7 linked regions of the Cricetulus griseus genome follow. The protein of the gene in region 1 interacts with the protein of each later gene in a pairwise test. Links are inferred from orthologs where the notes say so. Each region holds a gene or a part of one and is shown on either strand. Other genes may lie near its edges.

Region 1 (3,999 bases):
CTTTAACACAGTTCCTCATGTTGTGGTGACCTCCAAACATAACATTAATTTTGTTGCTACTTCATAGCTGTAATTTTTCTACTGATGTTATGAATCTCATATTCGGATATCTAATATGTGACCCTGTGAAAGGGTCAGTTGACCCCTCACAGGAGCTTCAATCCAAAGGTTGAGAACCACTGTCCTATGGGAATGAGTGAGGCTTTGCTTAGTTGAAAATGCATGCCAATGGGGAAATTACAGTTGGGAGAGGGTTTACATTATTTCTCTGTTTTCAGTTCTGTGTTTTAGTGTCTGACTGGCAATGCTATCTAAGGTAAACATCCTCACTTTACATTTTAGAAAAGAGAGAGGGTGCATGTATTTTCCTAAAGAATAGTGTTTGGGAAAGAGGATGTAACATGTACAAATTAGATGTGTTTGCAAAGTGGGACTCCTCCATGATGCAAGCTGGCACTGTCTTCCTTTTGGAATCACCCACAGGCAGCATTTTAAAGAAACAGATTCCTCCCTGTGCTCAGGATTAAGGCAGTAGGGTTTAAAACTCAGCAATAGACCCACGTGCCATTAAAAGCACATGTAATACATATATACAAATCTAAAATTGGTTTAAAAGTATTTAGAAAATCATCTAAATAATGTAACAGAAATTTGCATGGTCCTTCCGGTCATTAAAAAGAAACAAAGCCAACAGCAACAGGTGTGCTAATCAGAGAGTCATGAGGACCACACTTTTTATTGGTATTCAGGGTCATTTGTAAAGGTGATTGTAACCATGCTCAATTTTTACCCGAACTGAAGTTTTCCTTCTGGCTATCCCGAGCAGCCAGTTTCTAAGTTCTCATAGGACTGCGAGGGTCAGGGTGGGGAGTGGGGGTGTACTTTGCCTTGGAATCTTGCTGAGAAGTTGAGGTCTTGCCTGGCAATAGCAGCCATCAGCCAGCTTTCCAGAGGTAGGCGTTAGGTTCTAGCATCGATATACCTTTTTCTTTAATATGCACTAAAGATAGCACTCTATGAACTTAAGTGGAGAGAAACAATAAACCGGAAACAGGGCCGTTATCACCATGCTCGTCTGTAACTTGCTCATTTTGGGGAATGGCTATAGAAGGCTCCCAATGATTGCCTTTCTCATGCATCTGAAGCAGAAGAGGGCGTTATTCATGGCTTTCTGTTTTCCTTTAATCCTTCAGATTTATGAGGAATCCAAGATGAACTTGGAGCAGGAGAGGCCGTTTGTCTGCAGTGCTCCGGGCTGCTCCCAGGTGAGTATGCGGGTCCTCATGCTTCTGCCTTCCCCTGGGACGGCATCGCTCATTTGAGCCGCCATGTCCATTGGATTTTCTTTCTTAGCTGAAATACTTTTCAAAGTATCCCTGATCATCAGCATCATGATTCTCATCCTCACTAACGCTAGATCACACTTTATAGTTTGAAATACTTCCCCTTTATCCCGAAAGGCAGCAATGTTGACATCCCTATGAGTAACTTCCTCCGGAAGCAAGCCAGATGCTCCGTGCCCACCATTTCCGCTGGGCAGTCATTCAGAAAGGGGAAGGTGGTGTGTTCTTCACAGCAGCCGATTGCATACATACTGAGGTTTTTTTGTTTTGTTTTGTTTTTTTGATGAGATGCCTCGTAGTTGTGAGTTGGATTCTGGATCCTTTTTGAGGAAAAGAATACCACTATGACTGTTCTCAAACTACAGTTCTTGGGCATAGAATTTTTAAGAGAAGAGGATATGTTCACATGAAGGATTGAATCTGAGGGCCTCTGATAACTCTCTTCAAATGTTTATTATAGGGCATGAACATAGTAAATGTTCAGTTAATACCCACTCTTGTTATCACTAGTGCTGCTGCTAAATCTGTTATATTAGATCCCATATTTATTACATGAAATTCAAATTTTATGTTTTATTTTTAAAACTTGAAGATGACTTTTTCTGCTCATGACTCAAGAGTCCATCTTTGGGTAGTACCATGTTCTAGGAATTTTGATATGTTAGAATTGTAGTTTTTATACCAGGACCTTTATTTTATGGGATATAGGACACATTTCAGAGTCTGAGCATACGCATTTTGCTAATGTGGAGGAAGATGGCATTCACTCCCTAATTTTCCTGTACCTTCAAGGAAACCAAGGCCCACACCCACCAGTTCATCCGATAAGGTTGGTAGTCTTATGTGGGGCAGTGTCTAAGGTCAGTTAGGAGTAAGATGAATACCCTTCTTATAGTTTGCCAGAGTTTGTGGAGGATTCTGGGAGAATTTGAGGAGAAGATTTGGAGGGACAAAGTCACAGAAACATAAAATATTGTCACTGATGTTATCAGCTGTTGAGCACCCAGAGTCTGGAATTTTCATCAGAGGTTTTTGTGCCAATATTTCTTTGTAACCTGTGAACAAGAAAAGGAGTAGACAAAAATATTTTGGAGCAAACTGATTTTGAAAGCCATTATGAAGCAGGAAATACTAGAGGAATGTGGACAGGTTGCTTGGTAACTGGGAAAATCCTGGTAGACAAGGACTTCTCATGGTAAATGTAGACAAGGGCTTCTCATGGTAAATGTAGACAAGGACTTCTCATGGTAAATGCAGACAAGGGCTTCTCATGGTAAATGCAGAGTATCTCTGTACTAAATTCAAACCTGGCTCCTAACTAAAACAGAACTCCCCCTCAGTTTCTTCAAAGGGAAGCCTCCTTGTCTAAAGGAGCTCAGACACTTGGAGGGGTTTCCTTTGCTTGGCTCTGACAATAGACATTACGCTTCATTTACTACAAGCCACCTAGACACTTTCTAGGTACCTACCTGTGTGTGTCTAGGCATTCTAGCTGCTTCTTGAAAACCACACTACTCCAACACACACATGTCTCTGCTCTCACAGACCTTCTGGTCTGGGCATCAGATATATAGTCATATGATAAAATTATGGACTAACTAGTTGATTGCAATTTTTTTCATAAAGAAGCAACAGACCACACTGGGGAACTCACTTTACTGGGGTAATTGGAAGGCTTCTCTATGGAACAACAACAAAATGAGGGGTCAGGCTAGGTTGGGATTCTCAGGTATATCCAGGGTTAGAATGCCAGTAAAGAGCTTCTAGCCATAGGTGGGATTCATGAAAGTCAGACAGGAGAGAGATTCATAAGTACCTGTACCACACACACTATCCCAAACTTGGCATTATTAACATCTAAGGCCAAGTGACGCTTTGATGTGGGCACTATTGTGTATTGTAGAGTGTTTGACAGCATCCCTGTCTCAACCCACCAGACCTCAAAAGCACTCCTCAGCTGTGACAACCGAAAGATCTTCATGTTTCCAGATGTCCTCTAGGGTCACACTTGTTCTGGTTGACAATGCTGTTGGTTTCATTGGGGTTTAGCCTTGCTCTTATGTACCCCTTCTGTTATGGATCCCCAGCTTCTAACTGATGCTCTCCCACTCTATTTCAGGCCTTGCTCTAAGCCACATTTCCCTTGCTGCATGCAGTCAGACAGGGTATAAATAAATCAACTCCATAGACGTGTAGTCACTGCTGTCCTACACTGTTGGAGCTGGGATTGTTGGAAGGCGGAGCAAAGGCTGTTGGGTTTGGCAGTTAGTTGCTTGCAGGAGACATGGGAGAGAGCAGAGGGTGGAGGCCTGATTGGAAGGGATTAATGAGTGAGTGGGTGGCAAGGGAGCTGAAGTGATGGCATAGAGGAGCCTTTCAGGAGCAGGAGGCAGTGCTGAAGCAGAGTGATCTAATGGCAGTCTGCTAAAGGATAGCCAGGGTAAATTTAGTCAAGAGGGAGAAACCAATGAGGGGGCAGGAAAGAGTAGGAGAGCTTGAAGGAGCAGTGCCAAGGAGATAGAGGGTACAAAGAATCCTGTGGGGCCGTGGACATCCTCAGTTAACTTGAGCCAGGAGGGGACAGAGGGAGAATTTGCCAAGTCGCATGCAAAGTCTGAGGGAACTGAGCATGGTTGACTTTTGGGGTCAAGTATTT
Region 2 (3,500 bases), on another chromosome or scaffold:
GTACATCTGCTGCCTGTGGAGGCCTGAAGAGTGTATTGGATCTTCTCAGACTGGAGTTACTGATGGTCGTGAGCCACCATGTGGGTACTGGGAATTGAACCTGAGTCCTCTGGAAGAACAGCCAATGCCCTTACCTGCTAAGTGGTCTCTTCAGTCCTCCTGCATTAGTATTTTAATATGTGCATTTGCTGAACAGATATTTATGGATTGGCTGCCTTATGCCAATGCATCTAGCACAGGTGCAGGGATGATGAGAAGGGAAATAGGGAAGATAGCCCACCAGAGAGTCACCAGTGACCTCAAATGCATAAGCACCAATGGGAATACCAGGAACAAAACTTTAGAGAATGAAGTGCCAGTGTTATCTGGGGGTGTTGCCCAGATTTCCCTGAGAGAGGACTCAAAATCCCTCTGGCTTCTTTCTTTATATTTGTTAGACAGGGATTCCCTGTGTAGCCTTGGCTGGTGTGGAACCCAATGGCAGATACTGCTGCCTCATGTTCCCACATGCTGTGGTAGGAGGCATAAGCCACCATGCCTGGCTTTTCTCCCAGCTTCTTTGGCCTCATGCACATATCCTGCCCTCCTAAGTGGCCGCTGTGCATAGCCGGGATGAAGCAAGTGCAGATAGATGGTAGTCAGGATGGGCACTGGGGGAACATACACCTTTGAGCTGTCCTTCCTCTGGCTGCTGCAGCCCTGGGCCACTGCTCTGGGCAGGACCCCAAGGGCGATGGCACCTCAGCCACAGCCTGTGTTTCACCGTGTTTCTTTATTCTTGTGAGATTCTTCTGGGAGCTGAGCTGCCCATACTTTTGTCCTTTGTGAGGTCCCAGAGGGTCTGGTGAGACAACAGTTAAAGAAACCAGAGGGAAGTTAAATCGGGAGGCTGTGGTGAGGAGCTGCAGCTCAGCTGGGTGGTGGCCCTGTTCTTGAGCTTTGATTATGGGGTGCTGGGCTGTGGCTGCTATGGAGGCCTGGGCTCAGCAGTTCTGCTCACATTCCACTCAGAAGCTGATAGCCTCTGGCTTCCAAGTTCATGTCCTTCCGGCCCCTGCCGAACTCTGCCATGTTTATGGATATGGATATGTAACAAAGTGTGTCCCAAGCACAGTGAAGCGACCTGCAGGTCACAGAGTCAGTCACTCCAGCCTTGGTCCATCAGCTAAAGCCTGAGCTGTACCCCCAGAGGCAGTACAGAAATTCCCAGCCCCTGGGGACATCTGTCCTTCCTGTGCTTCGGCCAGCAGCCCAGAAATAGTGTAAACTTTGCTCCTGTCTGAAGGCAAATGGAAACTTCCAGCTGCTGCCATCCCTGCCTCCCCCACCTCCTCCAACCTGCTCAAGATGGTGTGACAGTTGAAGGGTGGGGACAAAATTTAACTAAGTAGAATTTTCCTAAATACGAAGATGAGGGGGAAAGAGGCTAAGGTCGTGGCTAACCAGGCACCTGCCCCGGCCACTTTTCACTCTTGCAATTCTCTTGATTGGCCTTTTGATGCTCAAGTAAGTGGAGACTAGAGAAATTATAAACTCACCACTGCTATCTATGTGGCACTTCTTGTAGGCCAGGCACCTTAAATGTGCTTTACTTGTGGCTGCCATTGGTTTGCCCACTGGCACAAGTGGGCAGAGGTTAGTGGTTCTAGATTGAGACTGTGGAAGGAAACTGAGGGAGGGTGCAGAATTTGTCCACAGCCACCCAGCACACAGGTGACATGCTGTCTCATTGGGCTTTGGCTTCCCTACTACCCTGAGCATTAAAGAAATGTATGTGGCACCTGGCCTAGAGTGTTGGCAGAAACCTTAAATCCCAGTAGTGAGGAGGCAGAGGCAGAGGCAGATAGATCTCTGTAAGATCCAGGCAGCCAGGGCTACAGAGTGAGACCCTGTGTATATAAAAGAGTCATACTTGACTTGAGAGGGCACAAAGACATAAAAGCTTCTTACCAGATGTTTCCGTGGACATAAACCAAACCCAACTGTGTTTATAAGGTGAAAACTTCAAACCCCAGATGTCTCCAGAATGACCAGGAAGACCCTGTCTGCTCATCACCTTGCCTTTTCTCCTGTGTTCTCCAAGTTTAAATTGCTTTTGTTTCTATCTCAGTGAGTCTCTGTGTATGTACACCCCACACTGAGCACACACGGAGCCTGTGAGATCTCCAGTTTCATTTTCACCTTTATCTTGTGTATGACCCTCAAATGGGATCACGCTTTCCCACACTGTTCTGACCCTTGCTCGGTGTCATTCTCTGGGGGCTACAGAGGATGTCTTTGAATGAAGCACCCCTTTCCCACTCCCCCACTTGTCCGCTCCAGCCCAGCTACCTTTGCCTCAGTTCCTGACCAGCACATGGGTTCACATTGCCCCTGGATAGCCTCATGGGACAGAGCCTGAAGGAGGCAGGGTAGTCATTTTCCTGGTCAGATGGACTCATGTGCAGCCTCTGAGTCCTGGGAGGGCCATCCTTAGGTGGAAGGCCGACTGCCAAGGTGTTGCAGCAAATGACACTACAGAGGAGTTGCCTTCTATACACGACATGATGTGTATATTGCAGGACTGGATAGTTGCCTGTGATGATGAGGCTTGGTGTGAGCCAGTTGCTCACATGCCGATGACCCGTGCCCCACAGAGCCTGCAGGGATAGCACCAGCTTCACTAGGGGACCATAGAATCTTCTAATCTTTTTTTTTACTGGTAGAGAGACTGGCTACTGTGGGGCCCAAGAATAAACCATGGCCATCTTCCTGTGGGATGTTAGTCTGGCTTCCTCAGATCCCAGGCAGGCTTCTTTGTCCACGGTGGAGACAAGCTGCTGGGCCGGGGACCAGAGTGCTCATCATCCCCAGCGAGGGTCCCTCCTCAGCACAGTACCCTTCATGAGAGGATTCTGGTTGTGTCTTGGCAGCAGGCCCTGCAGGACAAGGGGTGCAAGAGCAAGAGTCAGGGGACGAAAGAAGACAAGCTCCTGAAGAGGCAGGCGCCGGCCCCCAAGCGGGACCGGGAGGCCCCAGAAGCTGGTGGCACCATGAATGTAGAAAACACAGGTAAAGGAGGTCAGCCCCACCATCAGCACACCTGGCTGCACACCTGGCAGGACACCTGGCTGAGCTGGTACAGGACACCTGGCTGAGTTGGTGCAGGACACCTGGCTGAGCTGGTGCAGGATGGAGTGGGGTCCCAGCTGTATGGTATTCTGCCCCACAGCTGGAGGTGGTTCAACCAGTCTGGCCACCTGACATGAACTTGAGACCCTAGACAGCCTCCTCCAGATCCAGATCCAGATCCAGATCCAGGGACAGCTATGTATCTGTCCTCTTTCTTGTCCTGCCCCTTGTCCCAGGGCCACCAGGGCTCCACCCAGTGATAAGAGACCTTGGCCACTGGAGGCTGGGGTTGGGTTTCCCTTCTTTTTGTCTTTTCCAAGCACCCATCTAAAGTAGGGCCCAGGAGCAGCCTCCCAGACGCCACTGGTGCCTGCTGCAGAGGCCAGTCT
Region 3 (4,118 bases), on another chromosome or scaffold:
CACTGACCTCCCTGCTAAATTTATGCAGACAACTGAGAAGTGCCAAAAAAGATACTCTGGTATGATACTGCATTAGCGATTGGACCCTTCCAATCCAGTCCTAAGAAACAGATCCACAGCTGTCAGGCCTTATTACATTGCTACCTCTGTGGGAAAATAGACAAGATACAAAAGCCCCACCAGCTTTACATTTGAAACTATGACTTTAACACATTTCCTAGCATGAAGGTGAACAGACAGCTAGCTTCCTGGCTTCTAGAATGTTCTATTATCCTCTAGTGGCCTTTCTTATGGAGGATGTTCTTTGCAGGAGTGTCCTGGATGTCTCCCATGCAATTCCACACACAACTGTGAGTTCTAAAAGCATTTAGATACTTGAAAATGAAGTATGCAAAAACCAACATCAACAAAAAGCTTTTAAAAAAAAAACCTGCTGTTATTGTTAACACTTTAAAAAACTACTTTGAGCCCAAAACATCCAAACTCACATTGATGGATGATTTAGACCCTGGAGATCTGTTGTTTATCAAAACTATTCCTGATACAGTTCCCTGGGAAAATATTTCCTATTAACAATTTTTGGGGTCTTAGGTTATTTTAAAAACCCTCTATGGAATTTTTAGTTCCACATATAGTTCTTTTCACTTTGTCCTGAGCTACATCATCCCAATAATAAATGTCCAAAATCCCAGAGTTTGTAAGGAAACAAAAAGCATTCCCCACTTACTAGAGTCCCCCTACCCTGTGACAGACATGTAACTAAAACTAAAGCTTCTTCATGAGTTATTCTTATTTTACTTGCTTTTTGTTGATTAAAAAAAAGTTTGTGTTTTTTTGACAAAATTATACAAACATTACAAAATAGCAAGGACTTACTTGGGTTTGTTTTTTTTTTTTTTTTCCGAGTAATTTTTGGGATCATACCATAAACCGAAACGGAACAATCACTAAAATCCCACAGCAGGAGGGATTTCCTGCTGTGGATCATTATATTACATTTGCAAAAGTGACTGTCCTTTCGGGAACTTTCATACTGTATCAGCACACATTTTCCCTGGGGCACGGTGGAGAGGTGTACAAGTGTTTTTGTTGTTGTTGTTGTTTTGTTTTTGCCTACTGTTCTTCACAACTCTTTTCTAACTCATAAGGGTGAACGCATCGGTTTCCTTAAATCGGAGGCTGACAGCTCACTGACTATCAGGGGCCCTGGAACATGTGTTGCTGCCCAGTTGAGCTCAGAGGCAGTTTTTTCGGAGCGTCCTCGAGTCCACATCCACGATCGCTAAAATCCTGCTCCGGGTTTTGGCTCAGCCCGCGTGATTGACACATGATATCACCGGGGGCGGGTCCCAGCGTGGAGGTGGAGGTGGCGGCGACGCTGAAATGCTGCGGAGCCCGCGCGCGAGTGCTCAGCACGCAGGAGTTTGCGGCGGCCCCGCAGCCAGAGCTCTGCGGGCTAAGAAGCAGCTGCGCGCGACGTGCATGTGCCGGGAAGGCCGGCCCCGGGCTCTGCACTAGGCAAGAGCCTTGCCCTCCCGCCCAGGACCTGGCGAGATCAGGTGAGAATGGTGCTTTTTTTTTTTTTTTTTTTTTTTTCAAGGACCGGACGTTTTCGGATCTGGCTCTAGCTTGGTGCCCCGCGCTGGGCGCCCGGCCCTGCAGCTGGAGAGCTGGCTCCTTTCGCTTTCCCGTAGCCGGGCAGCGAGTTCCGCGTGTGCGGACGCGGGCTGGCATCGCCGCGCACCCGCGTGTCTGTGCGCATTGTTGGCGACCGAGCCGCCGGGCGCTCGTGCCAGACCTGACTTTGCAGTCCCCGAGTGCGGGCTTGCCGCGAGCAGACGCGCCGTTCGGACGCGCTTTTCACTGCAGGGCATTCCGTGGGGGCAAAACGTGCACGGCCGCGTGTGTCCCGGGCTCGTGGCTGCCCATCACCGCGAGGAGGACAGCGTCCCGGGCTGGCGAGGGACTCACGTGTTTCTGTCTCTGCTCGTCTGCAGCCGGCGTGGCGACTGCGGGGACGCGGACCTGCGGGGACCCGAGCGCCCGGGACGACGCCGGGCCGCGCGCCTGACGACCGGGACGGGACGGTGCTGTGGAGCGGGCGCCGCGCGCACCCGGCGGATGTCCCGGAGCCGCCCTCGGCCGCCGCCAACCGCGGAGAAGCGCCCCTGCCCCGGGGCCGCCGAGGCCGCAGCGCGGGCTATGAGCGCCCGGCCGCCCCGCCGCGCTTGATGCGGCGCGCATCCCGCCCGTTCGGCGCCCCGGGCCGGCGCCGCGGAGGCCGAGGTGAGTGCGGGCGGCAGGTGCGGGCCGGGGCGGGCCGGGCGATCCTGGCGGTCGTCGCGCAGCCCGTGCCAAGCGCGCGGCACCCGATGGCGCTGGGGAGCCAGCGGCCGCCTATGCTCGGAGCGCAGTGCCTCGCGACGCGGGGAGAGGGCGCTGCCTCCTCCCGCCCGCGAGCTGTTTTCATTCATAACTTTCCCCAGCCCGAGCCGCTGCGGCTCGGTGTCCCTGAGGCCTATGTGCGGGCTCACAGAATTGTCCGCGCGCACCCGGCTGCTCTCCGGGCGGGTGCGGGCGCCGAGGTGCTCCGCCAGAGCGAACTTGCTTGGGAATGCCCTGTAAAATGCGAATTAAAGCTATGCCTGGGGGTTTCATTACTCAAGCCATTCCCACGTCTTCCTTTCTTGTGGATGAAACTTGGCACATTTAAAGTCTTCGTTTTGGAGTTTTAAGTTTTTTAAAATAGATAGGGCACGGGAGTAACGACTGGCTGTTTCCCATTGTCATTTAGGGGTTCGGTACTAAGACGTGCTGTTACAGATGTGTTTCTCGTGTTTGGGGAAGGTAGAATAAACTAGAGGGGCCCCCAAGAAGCTAAACATGTAGTCTAGGAGCATCCGTAGCAAACTGCTTTTCCTTGAGACGTTTTGTTTTCTTTTGGCACCTAATTCAAGTGCCGTCTTGAATTAGGGTGCATCTGTGGGTTTGGAGAGCATTTGTGTGAAAAATATCCTAGATACCTACTGCCCGGAAACGGGAAAGTCAACTTTTGCTCTGTTTTAGGACGAATGCATTATAAATTGTAAATTATTTCTTGACGTGAAAACGTGTTTGTTGTGACGAGATATTAGTGTGTTTACCTTATTACAAAAAGCAGCTCGATTCAGGGCTTGTTGAAAATCAAGGTCTGTGGTGTAGATGAATGAAAGGAAATAAAGATAATGCAGAGACTAGGGCTCCTCTCCCTGCTCTGTAGGTTTGACACTTGTGCATAGAAGTTATTCATGTTGGTGAGTGAGCCTTGTTTAACCTTTAAAGAACCTTCTATCCAGAGTTTGTGTGCATGCTCTAGCGCCAGCAAGACAGCTAGAGCCGCTGCCTTCTCCATTCCTTGTAGATTCTTTTTCTCATCTCACAGATGAGCTTTAGATCCGGACTTGTGCCCAAAACGGCCTATTGAGATTCACGTGAGCTTGGAATATCCAGTGTTTTGGAAATTGCCTTGATTAATTTTCTCATTAATCTAAAGCTCTTAACAGCGAACAAATGGCCAAGAGGCCACAGCACTAAAGCCATTCTTAATCTTTAAAAAGTAGCTGACATTTTCCTTACGTGAACTGCCAGTGAACTGATAGTGAACTCTCTGAGAACAGTTCCAGGGCGCGCACTGAATGCTCCCTTCGAAGGCATATTTCATTTTAATTATTTGTTAGGTTTGCAAACAGGAAGACATGACTTCCTCTGCTTTTTAGAAGCTGGAGAGCAACTTCTAATTTTTGTGGCATGAGGTCTTGCTTGCTTTCTTCCTGTGATGTGGCCCTCCACAATCCTTGTTTTTGGAGTTGGACTCCTGCCAGGATTCTGCATCATTGAAATCAGCCGATGGAGGCGATCATTGCCAGGTGGTTTGGGCAATTTGTTACTTACAGGCGCCCCCCTCCCCAAAATGCTTTCTCATTTATTTTCTCTCTCACTCTTCTTTAGGATTTCCGATGCATGCCAGGTTTCTGCTGACTGCCGGAACCGGAGATCACTCCACATGGATCCCCCAAGTCAGCATGGCAGCCACACTTCCCTAGTGGTGATTCAGCCACCGCCTCTGGAAGGCCGTCAGA
Region 4 (4,234 bases), on another chromosome or scaffold:
GTGAAGCTTGCTTTTTTATAATTTGAACCAGGATTCAGCGATTATGTTGCCTTGGAGTTGTTTGGGGTATCTTGTCTCCACAACACCACTTTCAACTGCCTAAAGGCAGGGCCCTTATCTTCAGCTCCCACCCCACCCCCACCCCGCCTCCACCCCACCCCAACAGCACTCAAAGCAGAAAGGGTAAAGAATGTCGAGTGTGGAGAAAGAGATAAACAGTTAAACCAAGACATAAATGAGAAGTGATTGGTGCGGCATGCCAGACAAACTTCCTCGGAGAGACAAGCACACCCCATTGATAGTGGGGGTCTTAAATGTCTGTCCAAACTAGTCAAAGAAGTTTACGGATCTATTGTTGGAAAAGTCCTGTAGGACCAGGAAAATGGAAACTTCCTTAATAATGCTAGCTTCCGCCTATTGTAAACCATAATGGTGCAAGAACAAGGGCTGGGAGAGGAGGGTTGGGCTTGCCCCATCTATAATCTCGAAAACCCTGGGATATATGTATATATATTTTCTCCCATTTCTCCGATGAGGAAACGGAAGCTACGCGGTCATCCCGGGGTTGGGCAATTGCTTTGATTCTCCAGATAAATGTCCTGACCTTTAAGGGGCAGTGAGGGACACTCAGCCAACAAATAAGATATCCAGTGCCTGCCTACTATGCTCCAGGTAGCCTACTTAAGTAGTGGCGGGGTGACAAAGATAAACCGGGCACGGTCTTGTATTCCAGGAAGGGGCTCCCCAAAGAGTGAAGTAAACAAAACGATTCCAGAACAGTCTGGTACCGGCTGTGCGAGTCTGAACAGGGGCGGCCGGAAGCCTTGGAGAGTGATAGCGGGCGTGCGGGAAGGCTAGGGAGGGATCGCTGGACTCCGGCGCTGGCGCTGGGGTTGCAAGCCGTGTCCTGCAAAAGCGGGGTTCGGTGGTGGGCTGTCCCCCGTGCCTGTCACCTCTCGGCGGGGGAAGAACCGAGTCTCAGCGGGTACTGCCAAGGAGGGGTGGGTTGGGGTGCACATCCGTCGAGAAAAGCATGGAAACAAAAAGTAGCACGCCCCAGTCCCCCCTCCGTGCACCCCCCAGCAGGCTTGGTCTCCAGCCCGCGACCCCTCTCTTAAGTCCACGCACACCGGCCCGCACCGACGCCGAGGCCGCGGGGTCTGGAGAGAGAGAGAGAGAGGGCGGACCCGATCTTCCTCCCGCCGTCCCCTCGGCCTCGTGACCCCGGTGACATCCCCCCCCCACACACACCCCAACGGAGCCAGGCCCTGGGGTCGACCGCTCCGCCCAGTGCCCCTCCTCCCGCGGGGGGCTTCGCGGTCCTGAGCAGCGTCCCTCAGGGCTGCGGCCGGCCGCTCACGTCCAGGGAGGGCGGAGGGAGGAGGGGAGGGGAGGGAAGGGAGGGGAGAGGAGGGGAGGAGGGTGGAAAGCGAGAGAAAGCGCGCTGCGTGCGGCCCCGCTGCCCAGAGCCTGCCAGCAGCGCGCCCTCGGCGGCTCCGGTCCCAACCGCGCCCGCCGCCTCGCCTCCTCCGCCTCGGCCGCGTCCGGACTACGGGGCTCGCCCGGCCTCTCGGAGGTTCCCCGCCCGCCCCGGCTCCCCGCAGCGCCGTCCGGCTCCAGCCCCGCAGCTCGCCTGCTCGCCCGTCCGCCCGGGGGAAGGTAGCAAGCGGGCGAGCGCGCCCTCGCCTCAGCCCCGCGCCCCAGCCCCGCGCGGCGACTAAGGACCGGGAAGATGAACGGCGGAGGCAAAGCCGAAAAGGAGAACACTCCGAGCGAGGCCAACCTTCAGGAGGAGGAGGTACCGAGGGGGGCCTGCTACGGGGCTCGGGGCGCATGGGGTGCGCGCGCCGGGGGGGGGCTGTGCCCCACGGGACGCGGCGTCCCGAGGCGCGGGGCTGCGTCCACGCGCGTCCGCATGCCTCCCATTGCATAACTTTGTAGGACTTTCCCTAGACTTTTTTTTAAGTAGAATGCTCAGCTTTGTCTACCCGGGATGTTAAAAGCGGAATCGAGAGCTGACTCCCGGGTGACCTCAGATGATTGGGATCGGGGGAGGGTCAAGATTTGGGTTCTGCGGCTGCTGCTGGAAATCGGAGGGAGGCATGGTTGAAGGAAGAAACTCTGGGAAAGTTCTTGTTAAAAGATAATTCCAACCCCAGCTCCTCTCCCTCCCTTTCGGTGTTAAAAGTACTGGGTGAAATATCTTCCTAGCTGAGACATTTTGGATTAATAGATAACTCATCAGCCGCATTCTTCCCTGATGAGTCGAAGACCCCTGCCGAACCTGGGCGATGTGGAATGGGGGTGGGGGGAGAGGTAGACTAACAAGGGCTAAAAGCTTTGGGTTCCCCAAAGCAAAGGCGCATGGAGGGTGTTTTCATAGAAAATCACAACTTTATGTGGCACACTCGGAATGATGATTAAAAACGATTTGCGGCTGTGGTGCGTTTCTTACTGAAAACACTTGAGTAATATGGGTGAATGGAGCGTGCATGGGACTTAAGAATTTTGTCAGTTTTGTGGTGTCAGGCCCGGACTTTCACTCCTGCTGGTGGTTTACCTGGAGGTCCAAGAAACTGTATTTATCTGTTTAAGGTCTCCCAAAATTGAGTGTGTAGAAGCAGACACGGCCCAACCCACTGTTTCATAAAAAGTGTTCTTACAGGTAAATTACATCCTAATGAGGAGGATGAACACAACGTAAACTGACTCTGAAGCGGTTAGGATGGTGAGAATGTTGAGACATTCTCACCGTGTGCAAACTAAGATACCGTGACTGAAACCAAACATTAGGAAAGAGTTCATCCATCCACCCATCTCTCTGACCTATGTAAACTCTCCACTGGTAAAATGGGAACTGTTTAAATGGGGAAGACAGAAGAGACCTAAACTTATGCAAAACAACGGAGAGTAAGATTTTACTCACCACAGTTGTTAGGGTAGTGCACCTTAGGGTTAAGGGAATTGAAGAAACCTGACAACTGCGTCCCCACCTGAAGAAATTACCTATTTCATCAGCAAGTGTTGGTTTGAGAAGTTTTGTTTATACCGATTTATAACGCCAGAGCCCAGGGAGCCAGCTGCAAGTTCCCGCTGCTTCTCAGTTTATTTCCTGACAAGTTAAACATTAAAAAATGATGCCCGTTTGCTTTTTAAAAAAAATTGCTGGGAATTTAGCATGCTTTAATGAACACAGTGAGGTAATAACTCATTTCAGATCCACAGTACCCTTATCCCTGCAAGGATGGATCCTCTAAAACCATCTTTCTTCCCTTCATCCGGTTCAGAAAAGTTGCAGCTGGGACAAAGCTCATGACAGCAACAAGAACACCAAAGTTTGGTCCTTTTAAAATGATTTTGGGAAACAACAAACCCCCAAGTTTTATTTTTTTTAAGGTTTTGGTAGGTAACAATAGGTTTGTCTCCAAATCCCATGCCCACTTGCCTAAATATTATGGCAAGTCAGTTTTTCTCTTGATCATCTTAGCTGCAGATGTTTCCAGTGCTAAGGCCCCCTCGGGGTGATCACATCTGGTAATGGACCATGTTGGTGCAGTCATCTGCCTGATTTTGCTGCGTTGCACTGAGTGTTTTTTGTCAGGTAGGAATGGCATGTGATTCTAGAAGTTGTGTTTATCTTTTTTAGCAAAACATTTGTTATTTAAGCAATAAGAGGAGTAGGAAGATTGCAGAGCTCAAGTTGTGCACTAGTGGGAATGTATAATACATACTCCATGAAAAATGTAGTGTCCACCCCTCCACCCCCACCCCAGTACTAAGAAATGAAAAAGCCAGACAAGCTTTTTTTTTTTTTTTTTTCGAGACAGGGTTTCTCTGTGTAGCTTTGGAGCGGATCCTGGCACTCGCTCTGGAAACCAGGCTGGTCTCGAACTCACAGAGATCCGCCTGTGAGTTCTTATCACTAGCTACTCTATTTTTTTGTTTAGAAATAGGGTTTCCCAAGTCACACAGTCAGGCTTTGAACTTGAATTCCTGCCTAAGAGTCCTGGGATTGAGGCATTTGCCATCACACCTGGCTAGCACAAAAGAAATGCAGGGAAAGAAAATTGTCAGTGTCCCAGGTAGTTTTATTTTATAATTCTCTCTTCTTTGTGTCTGCTTGGTTTTTGAAAACTCCTAGGCTCCCCCCCCCCCCCGCCCTGCCCCCCCAATAACCCTGGAAGCCACAAGTAAAATAAATACAGTATTTGGTGAGTCCCCTTAATGTGCTTGT
Region 5 (3,956 bases), on another chromosome or scaffold:
AGGCAAGAGGCAGGTGGATCTACATAGTGAGTTCCAGGACAGCCAGAACTACTTGTGAGAACCTGTCTCGAAAAGATAAAACAAAGAAAGAAAGACTGGAAAGAGGTTGGGTAAGGGAAAGGAAGGTCAGGCTATTGCCGTAACCAGCAAGGGCCAGGCAAGGGAACCCTGGACACGCAGTCCTTTCCCGTCTAGTCCCGCCCTGAGACGTGGGCAACGCGAAGTCCCGCCCATTCGCCCCTTCCTGGGAGCCGGAGGCACACCGGCTCCTCCCTCAAGGCATGATCTTTGCTGGGGACCAAGACGGAAACTGGGTGGGGGACCTGAAGGGAAAGAGGGTCGGAAAAGGGCTGGCAGTGGGCCCTAGTGTCCTCTGCGCCCAAGTTCAAGTTTGCCAGTTTCTCGGGGGTTCCATTCATTTCGGGCCAAGACGACAGCTGCCCTCACCCCCACATTAGCGTAGCTTTGTGCAGGCAGGCTCCGGGGAAGCAGTGCCCTGAGTAGAGCGACCACCTGGAGGCCGCGGAGCTCATGGCCGGAGGGAGAGGGACAATTAACTTTATGTCCGGAAACCTTGGATGAATGTTTGAGACCATCTAACTGATGATGTGGGGAGCACAGGATAAAATTCTGCAAGTAGTAGGATTTGGAGGTTTGAGAAAATAAGTGGCGAGTAGGTTCTGAGAGGCGCAGATTCAGGGTCTGGGTGTTTAGCTACAGCTGAGGTGCGAGTGCACACTCAGGGATTCTAGAGGACCAGGTTGGATAGGGTCTAGGTGGCTAGGACAACATTTTGAATGAGGGCCCGGGGTCCCCAGGTGAATTTGGGGGCCAAACATCAAGGTCAGTGGCCCCGGGACCCAAGCGTTAGGGAACTCTGGCTGGGCGCCCGCAGGCGCCTCCAGGCGGCGCCGCGGGGGACCGGGTGGGGGCCTGTGGCCGGCCCGGGGTGGAGAAGCCGGGGGGTCGGGGTCCCTCCCCCTGGCGCGGGCTCAGGAATCCGCCGAAGGGCGGGCGGAGGCGCCGGGGTGGGCCGCGGCGGGCGGGCGGGCGGGCGGGCGGGCGGGCGGGGGCGCTTCCTGGGGCCGCGCGTCCAGCGAGCTGCGCGGTCCGGTCCGTCCGTCCGCCCGCAGGCACTGCCGGAGTCAACGAGTGAGTGGCCGCCAGCGGAGGGAGGGCGCGGGCCGTGTCGCGGCCGGGTCCGCGCTACGCCAAGCCGAGAGGCCTGCGCTCCACGACTCGCGGGGCGGGGGCGGGGCGGTCCGGGATTGCGGGCCTGCGAGCCCCAGGCCTGCGAAAGGACTCGGCCCCCAACTCTGGAAGGCTCCGGTGCTCCCAGCACAGTTCTGAGACAGCCGGGAATCCAGTGTCCCCTTCCTGATACAGGGAATGGGGGGTGTCGTGGCAGAGGCCCCTGACCCCTGCCCACTACCTCCCAGCCCCAGGATGCTCCCTTTTGCCTCCTGCCTTCCCGGGTCTTTACTGCTCTGGGCGCTCCTGCTGTTGCTCTTGGGAGCAGCGTCTCCACAGGATTCGGAAGAGCCGGACAGCTACACGGTGGGGACCAGCTTGGGATGGGATGGGATGGGATGGGATGGGATGGGATGGGATGGGATGGGAAGGACCAGGATCTTGGGGTGCCTGGGGAAGACTCTCCTCTGCTTGGTTGGTGGAAGACTGGGAGTCATTGTGTGAATTGACCCGAGCATAACTGAGCTCAGGCCCTGGCCTTGTTCTGGCTAGTTGGAGGAGACTTCCAGAGTGGTCACTGGCCACTTGGGGTCCCCTTCCAGGAATGTACAGATGGCTATGAGTGGGACGCAGACAGCCAGCACTGCCGGGGTGAGTATGCCTGGGATACTAGCCATTTTCAGGAACTGGGAAGGCAACTATTGTTTCCCAGGGATAACCTGGCTCCTAGACCAGCTGCAGGAACCTAATGGCCTTTTCACTGTCCAGCTTGGCTGAGCCAAAGCCAGCCACTCAATTAGGAGTCCTACCCCTTCAAGAAGTGCAATGAACTCTGCCTCTATTTGCAGTAGACAGGAGAGCACCTGGTGACTGCCCAGAGAAACGGAGATCTGCACACCTTCCGCCAACTGCCCTCTACTCTCCTAGCCCAGCTCTTTATCCCAGTGCAACCTGGGAGAGCAGTACACACTCTGTGGGTTTGGAGGCCTGCAAATTACTCTGGGGCAGAGGTAGAGGCAGGGTTTTGAGGAGGAATGGAAACTCACTTGGAGGCAGGAGAATAGGGACAACGGCGAAAATAGGTGGCCCTATCCCCAGTCCTGCAAATCACTGGGAGGGGTTCTGGGTCATCAGCCTTAATTTGCTGAGCAGAGAGAAAACCTTGCTCTGTTGCTCAGCTTAGAGAAGGCCAAGCTGGGATTCTGCCTCCCACTACCTCCAGGGCCAGCCCAGGTGACTGGCTGTGCCCAGCAGGCCCCTTTCTGCAGATGTCAACGAGTGCCTGACCATCCCCGAGGCCTGCAAGGGCGAAATGAAATGCATCAACCACTATGGGGGCTATTTGTGTCTGCCTCGATCTGCGGCTGTCATTAATGATCTACATGGCGAAGGCCCTCCACCACCAGTGCCCCCTGCTCAACACCCCAATCCTTGCCCACCAGGCTATGAACCTGATGAACAGGAGAGCTGTGTGGGTAAGTGGGAGCCATGCTGGCTGGCACCAATGCTTCCAGACCTCTTACATGTCTTTTTAAAATTAATTTTGTATTTAGTGTATAAAGTAAAAAGAAAAGTAAAAACCAAAAGAAAACAAAGGGGGGCGCTGGAGAGATGGCTTAGAGGTAAAGAGCACTGGCTGCTCTTCCAGAGGACCTGGGTTCAATTCCCAGCAACCACATGGTGGCTCACAACTGTCTGTAATTCTAATTCAGGGGACCTGGTACCCATGGCAAAACACCAATGCACATAAAATAAAAAAGTAAATTTAAAAATAAATAAAAGAAGCAAAGTGAAAGTTTTTAAAATCATGGTATCATTCTCCTGACACACTTCATATTTGTTCTCTCTCATTGTCCCTCCCTAGCACCTTGTTCTTCGAGATAGGATTTCTCTGTGTAGCCCTGGCTGTCCTGGAACTCACTCTGTAGTCCAGGTTGGCCTAGAACTTAGAGATCTGCCTGCCTCTGACTCCCTAGTGCTGAGTGCTGGGACTAAAGGTGTGTGCCACCACTGCAGGACTGTGTACTTTGTTTTTTGAGACAGAGTCTCTGGGTTTGATCCCCAGCACACACTTGTAATCCCACCACCAGGGAGGTAGAGAAAAGAAGATTGGAAGTTAAAGGTTACCTCAGTTGCATAAGGAGTTTGAGGCCACCCTGAGCTACATGAGAGCCTATCTCAAAAGCAGTAACTAACATAAATAAAGTAATTTTCCACACTAAATACCGCAGACCTCATGTTCCTTCCTTGCTGAGAGAAGCCTCTGGCTCCTCAGAGAAACATCTGAACCCTCACCTGCAGCAGGCCTGGTGCATGGTCTGCTGGCCCAGGAAGTCCCCAGCAGCTCCCTCACTTCCTGTGCAGACATGCTAGAGCTCTGCTCCCAGCCTCTTGCCAGCTCTTTATCAGGTCTCGGCCTTGGAAACCGCTGGCTTTGGAGGAGGGAAGATCCTGGTCTAGAGTCAGCTGAGGGTGTGAATGGACAACGCCTCATTTATTTTTAAGCCAGTTCTAGCTGGCTTGGAACTCTATAGCTCTGGCTGGCTTGGAACTCAGAGGGATCCTCCTGCTTCTGCCTCCTGGGTGTTAGAATTAAAAGTGTGTGCCACCAGACCTGACAAGGCCTTGTTTTATATGCTCAGCTAATGGGTGCTTTTCCTGGTGGACTGTTTTCTTGTGCTGTTGGGAGGACCTATATCCTATCTTCATATTTTGGTGCCAGCTACCCATGTGCCCATGTGAATGAAGTCTGGTGTGAGCCACCT
Region 6 (4,212 bases), on another chromosome or scaffold:
TATACGGAGTTCGGGGACAGCCTGTGCTACCTGAGCCTCAAAAGAAAGAGTTCCTCAACTCCTGGTACAACACTTAGCATGGTACCTTCTCTTAGGATGATTGGAAGTCCGGAGCAGACAAGAGCTTCAGAAGGTCGTCCGCTCCAAACCTTTCATTATACAGAAGGAAATTGAGACTGCAGACTCGCCCAAGATCTCACAGCTCGTAAATAGCATGGCCAGGCGTTCATACTCCAAGGCCTGCGCTCTTTACCCTGTGCACCACCCCGCCCAGCAAGGCGGGAAGAGCCAGGAGTCCGGCCACGCGTGCCCTGAACTTTGCTCCAAAACAGCTCAAGGCAACTTGGGGTACATCTCTCGGCCCCCCAGTTTGTTTGTTTGAACAGCTTGGTTTGCTTTTAAGGCCTGGTTGCTGCTATTAGATGCGACCAAATTGTCTAGCACAGGGGACTCCCGCAATGTCTCGCTAGCTAGTTTCATCTTCAATAGCACTTCTAGCAAATTAATTGGAAGGTCAAAATAAAAAACAAAAACAAACAAACAAACAAAAAACCCAAGAGCACACACATACAAAAGGGAAGCAGTGGGCAGCCAGGCTCCGAGGGGGAAATGGGCAGGCCAGCCCCGCCTGGCGGCGCCGTGCCGCACCCCGCCAAGACCCGGCCGCAGGGCGGCGCGGGTGCCCGGTGCGTCCAGGACGCCTGCTGTACCGGGCGGCGCCGCGGAGGGTGCGGACGACTGCGCACGGCCGCGCCCTCCCCGCGAGCGGCTCTGAGCGCCGGGCTCTGGGCCTCGCTGTGGCGCCGCACTGAGCCACCCGTCTCGGCTTCAGGGCTGCGATTGTTTTCTAAAACCCGGGGCCCGAGCCCGCGAGGCCGCTTTCGGGGCCCCGCCCCGCGCCCCTTTCTTTTGGGGTGGGGATGGTGGGTGCGCGCTTGGGAGCGGGCAAGGGAATCCCTCTCCCTCCACGTCACCCGAAAGCGAGGAAACCCGCACTCGCGTCCTCTAACGCAAATGACCATCTTTGGCAACGTGCGCCAATGGAACAGACCAAGGGCGCTGCGCCCCGGGGGGTGGAGGAGCTCGGCAAGAACTCAAGCGGCCTCGGCGCCCCCAAAGTGCCAGGGCCGCACGCTCCCACCCTCACCACCACCCGCCTTTCTTGCGCGGGGTGTGCGGCTGGCGTCAGCGTGACCGCGAGCAGGGCTGGGAGGGGAGCGCCGTGCCCGCCTCCTCCCCTCCCGCGCCTCTTCCTCCTCCTCCTCCTGGTCCCGGGCCTCCTCCCCCGCCGCCTCGAGAGCTCCTCCCAGCAAGGTGGAGTCTAGCGTTGACGTGAGTCGATCCACATGGTGCGGGGCTGGAGAATAAAGAGTGTGGAGTTGAACTCGTGCCATTGTAGTGACTCATCTCGGGCAGAACGCAGGGGCTTGAAGCGAGACAGCGAGCTGCGCTCGGCAGGGACTGAGAGAGAGAGAGAGAGAGAGAGAGAGAGAGAGCGAGAAAGGGGGAGAAAGAGAGAGAGGGAGGGCGAAGCGAGGCAAGACGCTCGAGGCCAGCTCGTCCTGGAGCGGACACCGGGTGCAGGTCACTGCGACGCGGAGCCACGTCCCTCTTAGCACTGCTCAGCCTGGAACCCCACGGGCACTGTCCCGCCGGCGCGATCCGGGCAGCTGGACAGGCGCTCACTGCCTTGTCCTAAGTCAAGTGTCCGAGTCGCCGGGAAACTCAGGCGGCGAGTTGGCCACAGGAAGTTTATTCTCGGGCTCCTTTTCTAAAAGGAGGAAACAGAAGTTTCTCCCAACCGGCAGCTTTTCTTTTTCGCCTTTTTGGCGCCCTGTGAGATTGGGGAGGGAGTCCCCCAGAGCTGCCAAGCAACACCCGCTGGGCTCCTAGTCTTTTTTGCGTTGCCCATTTTTGATCCAGCCCGTGGGTCCCGGCGGAGCTCCGGCTGCGCGCGGGGGCGGAAGGGCGCGCGCAGGGGAGGGACCGAGGGACGCGCCGACTTTTTAGAGGGAGGGACCCGGTGGACAGCCGGTTCCGCGGAGCTTGCAGAGCAGAAACGAAGTGCGGTGCGCGGCGATCGGGGGATCACTTCCCGAGTGTCGCCGCCTCCCTGTCTGCCTCGGTTGGGGGACAGCCCCGGAGCCAAGAGCCCAGCCCGCGGCGGGGCCGGTGGACCAGCGAGCGCGCAGCAGACTGCGCGGCCGCGGCGAGGGCGGGGAAGAAAACCACCCTGTTTCCTCTCCGGCCCCCACCGCGGATCATGTACCAGGATTATCCCGGGAACTTTGACACCTCGTCCCGGGGCAGCAGCGGCTCTCCTGCGCACGCCGAGTCCTACTCCAGCGGTGGCGGCGGCCAGCAGGTACGTGCGGGCCCGGGTGCACCTGGCGGCACCGGCTGACTCCTTGCCCTCTCCTCGCTCTCACTGCCTCCATCCCCAACCTCCGTCTTTACCCTTCCTTGGCTGGGCTAGAAAAATACTTAGGGGCCACCGTTGATAAGTTGTGGGGTTTTGTTCTGTTCCGCCCCACCCACCCCACCACTTTTTTTTTTTTTTTAAACAAGCGGAGAGTGGGCTTAAAGAGCCAATAACAACCCCCCTCTCCGGCTTCTCTCACTTTATTCCAGAAAAGCTTCTGGAATTGTTGGTCCCCTCTTGGAAGCCTGTTGCCTCCTTCCGAACGCTCTCCCCTCCTTTTCCACCTTCCCCTTTCTCGGTGGTGGATAGACAAGGAAATCTTTGCGCCTCCTAAGTCCCCTCCCAATCGTCAAAGACCATACAACGAAGGCCTTTTAGCCTTTCCTTTTTCTGTTTTCCTTCGGTCTTAGCAGCTTTCTGAAATGGGTTGGGGACTCAGAAATACGGTTGGGCTCCTTCAAGTGATCCGGAGGGAGGGCTAGGGTTGCCTCTGGGAATCAGGTGCGAAGGTCAGGAAGGAAGAAGCTGGCTTTGATTGGCTCTTGACACCTCTTGTGCTCACCCCCCTCCCAGCTTCCGGTGAGGGTTGGGCAGGAACCTGTACTGTCCCGGAGAGCAGAACCTTGGGGGGCTTGGGGATACCTGGGGCAAAGAAGCTGGCAGAAAGAAGAGGGAGAACGAGACATCACTTGGGCTCCTGAGTAGTGGTTTTAGAAGTAGAAAAACAACTTGTTTCTAAAGCAGGCAGACTGGTTTCCATTGGAGGGATTCTGCCCGCACTCCGTGTGTCTGTAGGATACCAAACGGGTACTGGTGAAGTGGTGGTGCTGGTGGGGTACCTGACTTGTGTAGCACACACACTGTCTCATGAGGGAACTGCATGAGCTTACATGGTCCTCTGCCGCCCGAAGCCCTCTGGAGTTCCTAGCCAAGTTGGCTGCAGCAGCGTGAGTTACTCCATAAGGCCATGGCTATGGCCTTGGCTTTGGCCTCCAGCAGTCAACCCGATGGGGGGGGGGCGCTTCCAGGGAAAGATGGACTGAGCTGGGAAATATAGTAAAAACATGTCTTTCTTTGTAATCCGAAAAAGAGGAGCACCTCTCTCAAAGTAATGCCCCATGTCGAGTGAGTCCCTCCAAATGGCTTTTCTGTGTCTTCTCTCTAATCCCTACATACCTGCTAAGCACCTACTGTAGAGAGCCTGGTCTTCACAGAGGGTGCAGTCAATGGACCCTTACTACTGAAGTGATGAGTTTTAAGGCTTATCTAAAAAGTCATTGGTTATGTTTGCATCCCAGCCCAGTGGGTGATTTGTGTTGAACCAAAACATCATTCACTTTATACCTGTCCCCGGACTTTCTAGTTCAATAACCCCACCCCACCCCACCCCACCTCCCTCTCTTTCCCCAGCCAACATTGGAGCTTTGTATTTCTGTTTCTTTCACTAATGAGATGGAGCCATTGACCAGTGACACAGTGCAATCTCCCTGCCTGGTGCTTGGCTCAAACTCTGGGGCCTGGATGGGAAGTCAGACCGGACATCAGTGCCCCAACTGAATAATCTGTGTCACTAGGGCTTTGAGCCCAGGATATGAGCAGAGGCAATTCCTTGTTTTGGAAGCAAATCAGACAGGAAACCAATGCTAGGACGAAGGAAGACAGAGCTCCGTCCAGCAGTGTGTAATGGGGCCTCATTACCGAAGCAAAAAGCAGCTGTTAGCTAATTCCTAGCATGCTGTAACACATGAGGATTTTGCAATTAGCAACAACCAATACATGGGATCCTCAGG
Region 7 (3,977 bases), on another chromosome or scaffold:
AAGCCGAGAAGGGAAGCTTTGGCAGCCTGACATTCTACATGTATGTACAGTGTGAGGGCTCAAAGCTATGATGGCCTGACTTGGTCACCAGACTCAGCCACTTACTCAGTGGTGGCCTTAGGCAACTCATTTCAATAGCTGTCAACCTTAGTTTTCCCCATCTGTAAAGTGGGGGTTATGATGGCACCTATCTCCCCAGCACATTTGGCCAGGGCCTCACCCTCACAAAGACCTTTCACATACTTTCAAAGAAGGTTGGTGACACACACAGTCCTGGAGGAGTGCCTCCAGTCAAGAAGCCTCATTGATTGCATCTCAGGACACTTGTGTCCCTCTGTAGGCTCTCTCTGCCTGTAGAGACTTAGATTAAAACTTGTGATAGCTCTGGAGTCTCCAGACACAATTATAGTGCTTTCTATCTGTGGGTACACTAAGTGAATTTCACTTAGTGTTAAAATCTAAGAACATTTTTGTAACCCTGGTTTGTCACTTACTCACTTTTTAGTCTATCAGAGGCCTTGACACCAGTTGAAACGGGGTGTGGTAGCACATGCCTGTAATATCTGCCCTCCACTCCGGAGGTGAAGGCAAACACCAGCAGTTCTAGGCTATCCTAAGACACAGAAGGTAAAGACCAACCTGGGCTACCTGAGACTCTATGTAAAAAAAAAAAAAAAAAAAAAAAAAAAAAGCCAGGCATGATGGTGGCACATTCCAGCACCAGAGAGGCCAGCCTAAGTTACCAGAGACCCTGCCTTAACCAATCTCCCTCAACAAACAACAAAGTAAACTCTAATCAAACAAACTTCCCACCCGGATTCCAGAGGAGTGGCCTTAAACCAGGACGGCTGACTTGGGTGACAGTGCCAGGCAAATAATGATGACAGCAATAATCCATCATATTTATAATTCACTTCAACAGTTTCCTGCTAGTTTTCCCGTTCTTCTATCGGCTACATGATTGTTTCGCCCTGTTTTATGGCGCTGGGAGCCTTGGCTAGTCCAGACGGGGCGGGGCGCAGCTGCAAGCCCCAACCTCAGCTAGGTGCGTCAGGGGGAATCCTCGCTGTACCTGGGCGCGGCGAGGAAATTGCACCATGTATGGGCAGCTGCGTCAGAGGGGGCGGGGCCACCGCAGAGGCTAGGGGACGCCAAGTAGGTCGCTTTCCCTCGGCAGAGGCGGCTGGCCACCAAGTCAGGGGGTCGTGAGGTTCCGTGCGGACCAGCCCACAGCGGCTCATTCGGAGAGGTGGGTCCCCCTCGGAGAGGTGAAAGGCTCCGCTGCGACACGCCCCCACCCCCCGCGGTGCAAGTGGTTCAGCCCGACAACTTTTCATTCATAAAAAAGACAAGACTCCGCGAGGCTCCAGTGAGTCAGAACCGCAGCCGCCGACGCGGACCCCACCGAGCATCCAGCCCAGGGCATGTACCGAGACTTCGGGGAACCGGGACCGAGCTCCGGGGCCGGCAGCGCGTACGGTCGCCCCGCGCAGCCCCCGCAGGCTCAGGCGCAGACCGCCCAGCATCAGGTGAGGCTGGCCGGACCCCGGAGGGGGACCTGGGTTTGGACAGCGTTGGGGATGCTGGAGTTAGTCTGGTTTGCTCCGGGACTGGGACCGGAACCCCGAGCAGCGTCCGCGCGACAGAGGATCCTGCACGTTCTGCGCTGTCCAGGAACCGGTGTCCCCCGTGGCCAGGGGGACAGGCGCAGCGGGAGGAGCGAAGATCTACGAGTCCCCCTTCTCGCCCGCCCGCATCTCCCTAGCTGACTGTCAACCTACCCCTCTGTCTCCGTTACGGTCTTTATTTCCTTTTGTCTACCCCTAAATAGTGTCCCACCTGCCCCAACCCAAAACTGAGCTGGATCAGAGGAGCGCTCCATCTCCAGCTTAGTAACCGGGACCTGGAGCTTGGGCACAGGGGAGATTTGGGGGAGGGGGGTTCATTAGAACTCGGCCGGGACAGCGAATCCTTAGCAGTCTGTCTGCGGCTAAGTACGAGTGTCGCTTCCAATTTGTTCCTCTGCCTGGTCAAGTCCACATCCTTTTGAACGCAGTGGAGTCCCGGGGGCCTCAGGCAGTGGCTCTGAGGGGTTCCTGGAGACTGACTACACTCTCTAAGCCAAATGGAGACCACGAAGTGTCGGGACATGCTCCGGGTCATCCACCAGGCCACTCTCGCGCCCCTTACTCTAAGCACCCGACGGTTCCCACTACTGGCCAGGGACACTTGAGAGGTTGCAGGTGCCCATTTCCTGTCGAGGGACCACGAGCACGTGTTGCCAGGGGAGGGAAGGAGCTGCGTCCGTTCCGCCGAGTCACAGCGAACCGAGTCACTGTGGCTGAGTCACCCTGGGTGCCCCTCCCTTCCTGGCCCCAAACGCCCTGGGACCGACGACCTGGGAGCGGGAGATGCCCCTAGCGATGCTTCTAGCCCAGAACTGGGGTCACTGAGCTACTGTGTCCCCCAGTACTGGGCTGAGGACATAGCCGTCCAGGCTTGCCTAGGCATGTGAGGTGTTTCCTGGACGGAAGGGAGCCCACACCCTTAGCTCACAGGGCTTAAACCCAGTCTGTGCCCCAGAACACTCACACACACCCAGACCTCACCCCTCATCCTCCCCACCCCTCCCCCCAATCCCAACACATGCCTCAGATTTCTGGCAGAAAAAGAACTAAAGAATGCCAGGCCTCCTATGAAGGGCTTTTCATCTCTTCACCTTATTTTGTACTTAAAAACCCCATCACTTTTGAGCCTCCAGAATCTTAAATAGACAATTGGGCATGCCTTTAATCCCAGTATTCAGGAGGTGGAGGCAGAGGCAGGCCAATTTCTGGGAGTTCAAGACAAATTTGGTACAAAGCTACATAATAGAGGGATCCTGTTTCTAAAATTAAAAAAAAAATTAAAGCCGATTAAACATGGTTTCTGAGCTAGCAGAGCCAGCTTCTCAGCAGCAGTGAAATGTTGCATGATATTAAGAACAAGGAAACTGAAGAAACATTGGGGCTAAATAACTGGTTCCAGTCACAAAGCCAGTAAATGGCTGAGCTGATGCTTGAGACATAGCCCTTGTTCATCATATTGGACACCTGACTCTATTGCACATTCTAAGCCACGTGGGCTGCTGTATAGTCTCAGTGCTTGGGAGGTGGGGGCAGGAGGGTCAAGAGTTTGAGTCTAGCCTGAGCTCCATGAGATCCAGTCCCCCAACAACAACAAACTCCCTTACCTAATTCTCAGAGTTGCACCCATCCTCTGTTGTGAGGATGGGTGCAAGAAAGAGTGAGAAAAGCCAGCCATTTGGGCTCAAATCTCAGTTTCTACTTGCTGGCTGTAGGTCTGTGGTCAACTGTTATCCTGTCTGAAAATGGAGATACGATTGTACCCACTGTATGAGTCATTCTTTATAAAGTAGTTGGGAACAGGGACAGTTCACACTTGGTAAGAATTATCTCTGATGGGGACAAACAGAGGTAAAGAGACACTTTGTGACCTGCCCAAAGTCACACAGTTCATGAACAAGTTTCTGATTGCCCAATTGTGTTCCTTGTGGTCTCCCAAAGCCAGTATCCGCATTGAGAGGAGACAGAAGTATAGCCTGTGTCTCTTGAAAGCCCCTCAATTTGCCTCATCACTGACCCCCTGTTCTTATTCCTCAGAAGTTCCACCTTGTGCCAAGCATCAATGCTGTGAGTGGCAGCCAGGAATTGCAGTGGATGGTGCAGCCTCATTTCCTGGGACCCAGTGGCTATCCCCGACCTCTGGCCTATCCCCAGTACAGTCCCCCTCAGCCCCGGCCAGGAGTCATACGAGCCCTAGGGCCACCTCCAGGGGTGCGTCGTAGGCCCTGTGAGCAGGTAAGGAAGAGAGGTGTTGCACTTTCAATAGCCCTTAGGGGTCCTAGGAGGCAGGGGACAGGATCGTGCTAGGAGAGAACTTCCATTGCCCATAGGAGTCCCTGGGAGGCTAAGAAA

The links.
Region 2: the proteins of Creb5 (region 1) and Kifc3 interact in binary tests that used the Homo sapiens proteins (3 or more experiments, as listed by UniProt). The two-hybrid records come from large-scale screens. The link is inferred for Cricetulus griseus from reciprocal best matches to the Homo sapiens genes CREB5 and KIFC3.
Region 3: the proteins of Creb5 (region 1) and Spry1 interact in binary tests that used the Homo sapiens proteins (3 or more experiments, as listed by UniProt). The two-hybrid records come from large-scale screens. The link is inferred for Cricetulus griseus from reciprocal best matches to the Homo sapiens genes CREB5 and SPRY1.
Region 4: the proteins of Creb5 (region 1) and Rbpms interact in binary tests that used the Homo sapiens proteins (3 or more experiments, as listed by UniProt). The two-hybrid records come from large-scale screens. The link is inferred for Cricetulus griseus from reciprocal best matches to the Homo sapiens genes CREB5 and RBPMS.
Region 5: the proteins of Creb5 (region 1) and Efemp2 interact in binary tests that used the Homo sapiens proteins (3 or more experiments, as listed by UniProt). The two-hybrid records come from large-scale screens. The link is inferred for Cricetulus griseus from reciprocal best matches to the Homo sapiens genes CREB5 and EFEMP2.
Region 6: the proteins of Creb5 (region 1) and Fosl2 interact in binary tests that used the Homo sapiens proteins (3 or more experiments, as listed by UniProt). The two-hybrid records come from large-scale screens. The link is inferred for Cricetulus griseus from reciprocal best matches to the Homo sapiens genes CREB5 and FOSL2.
Region 7: the proteins of Creb5 (region 1) and Fosl1 interact in binary tests that used the Homo sapiens proteins (3 or more experiments, as listed by UniProt). The two-hybrid records come from large-scale screens. The link is inferred for Cricetulus griseus from reciprocal best matches to the Homo sapiens genes CREB5 and FOSL1.

The regions. Positions count from the first base shown.
Region 1 is NC_048601.1:87,957,354-87,961,352, reverse strand, and holds the start of Creb5 (cyclic AMP-responsive element-binding protein 5), read left to right. Parts: upstream 1-1,199; 5' UTR 1,200-1,211; coding exon 1,212-1,265; intron 1,266-3,999. UniProt on the Homo sapiens protein: Binds to the cAMP response element and activates transcription.
Region 2 is NC_048596.1:171,330,985-171,334,484, reverse strand, and holds part of Kifc3 (kinesin-like protein KIFC3), read left to right. Parts: intron 1-2,912; coding exon 2,913-3,051; intron 3,052-3,500. UniProt on the Homo sapiens protein: Minus-end microtubule-dependent motor protein. Involved in apically targeted transport. Required for zonula adherens maintenance.
Region 3 is NW_023276806.1:112,081,566-112,085,683, reverse strand, and holds the start of Spry1 (protein sprouty homolog 1), read left to right. Parts: upstream 1-1,318; 5' UTR 1,319-1,559; intron 1,560-2,176; exon of another isoform or gene 2,177-2,286; intron 2,287-3,987; 5' UTR 3,988-4,042; coding exon 4,043-4,118. UniProt on the Homo sapiens protein: Inhibits fibroblast growth factor (FGF)-induced retinal lens fiber differentiation, probably by inhibiting FGF-mediated phosphorylation of ERK1/2. Inhibits TGFB-induced epithelial-to-mesenchymal transition in lens epithelial cells.
Region 4 is NW_023276807.1:50,883,351-50,887,584, forward strand, and holds the start of Rbpms (RNA-binding protein with multiple splicing), read left to right. Parts: upstream 1-1,434; 5' UTR 1,435-1,732; coding exon 1,733-1,798; intron 1,799-4,234.
Region 5 is NC_048596.1:53,864,090-53,868,045, reverse strand, and holds the start of Efemp2 (EGF-containing fibulin-like extracellular matrix protein 2 precursor), read left to right. Parts: upstream 1-1,156; 5' UTR 1,157-1,446; coding exon 1,447-1,557; intron 1,558-1,793; coding exon 1,794-1,842; intron 1,843-2,459; coding exon 2,460-2,666; intron 2,667-3,956. UniProt on the Homo sapiens protein: Plays a crucial role in elastic fiber formation in tissue, and in the formation of ultrastructural connections between elastic laminae and smooth muscle cells in the aorta, therefore participates in terminal differentiation and maturation of smooth muscle cell (SMC) and in the mechanical properties and wall integrity maintenance of the aorta.
Region 6 is NC_048600.1:12,335,997-12,340,208, reverse strand, and holds the start of Fosl2 (fos-related antigen 2), read left to right. Parts: upstream 1-1,412; 5' UTR 1,413-2,263; coding exon 2,264-2,365; intron 2,366-2,596; exon of another isoform or gene 2,597-3,312; coding exon of another isoform or gene 3,313-3,369; intron 3,370-4,212.
Region 7 is NC_048596.1:53,891,461-53,895,437, reverse strand, and holds the start of Fosl1 (fos-related antigen 1), read left to right. Parts: upstream 1-1,177; 5' UTR 1,178-1,424; coding exon 1,425-1,529; intron 1,530-3,662; coding exon 3,663-3,860; intron 3,861-3,977.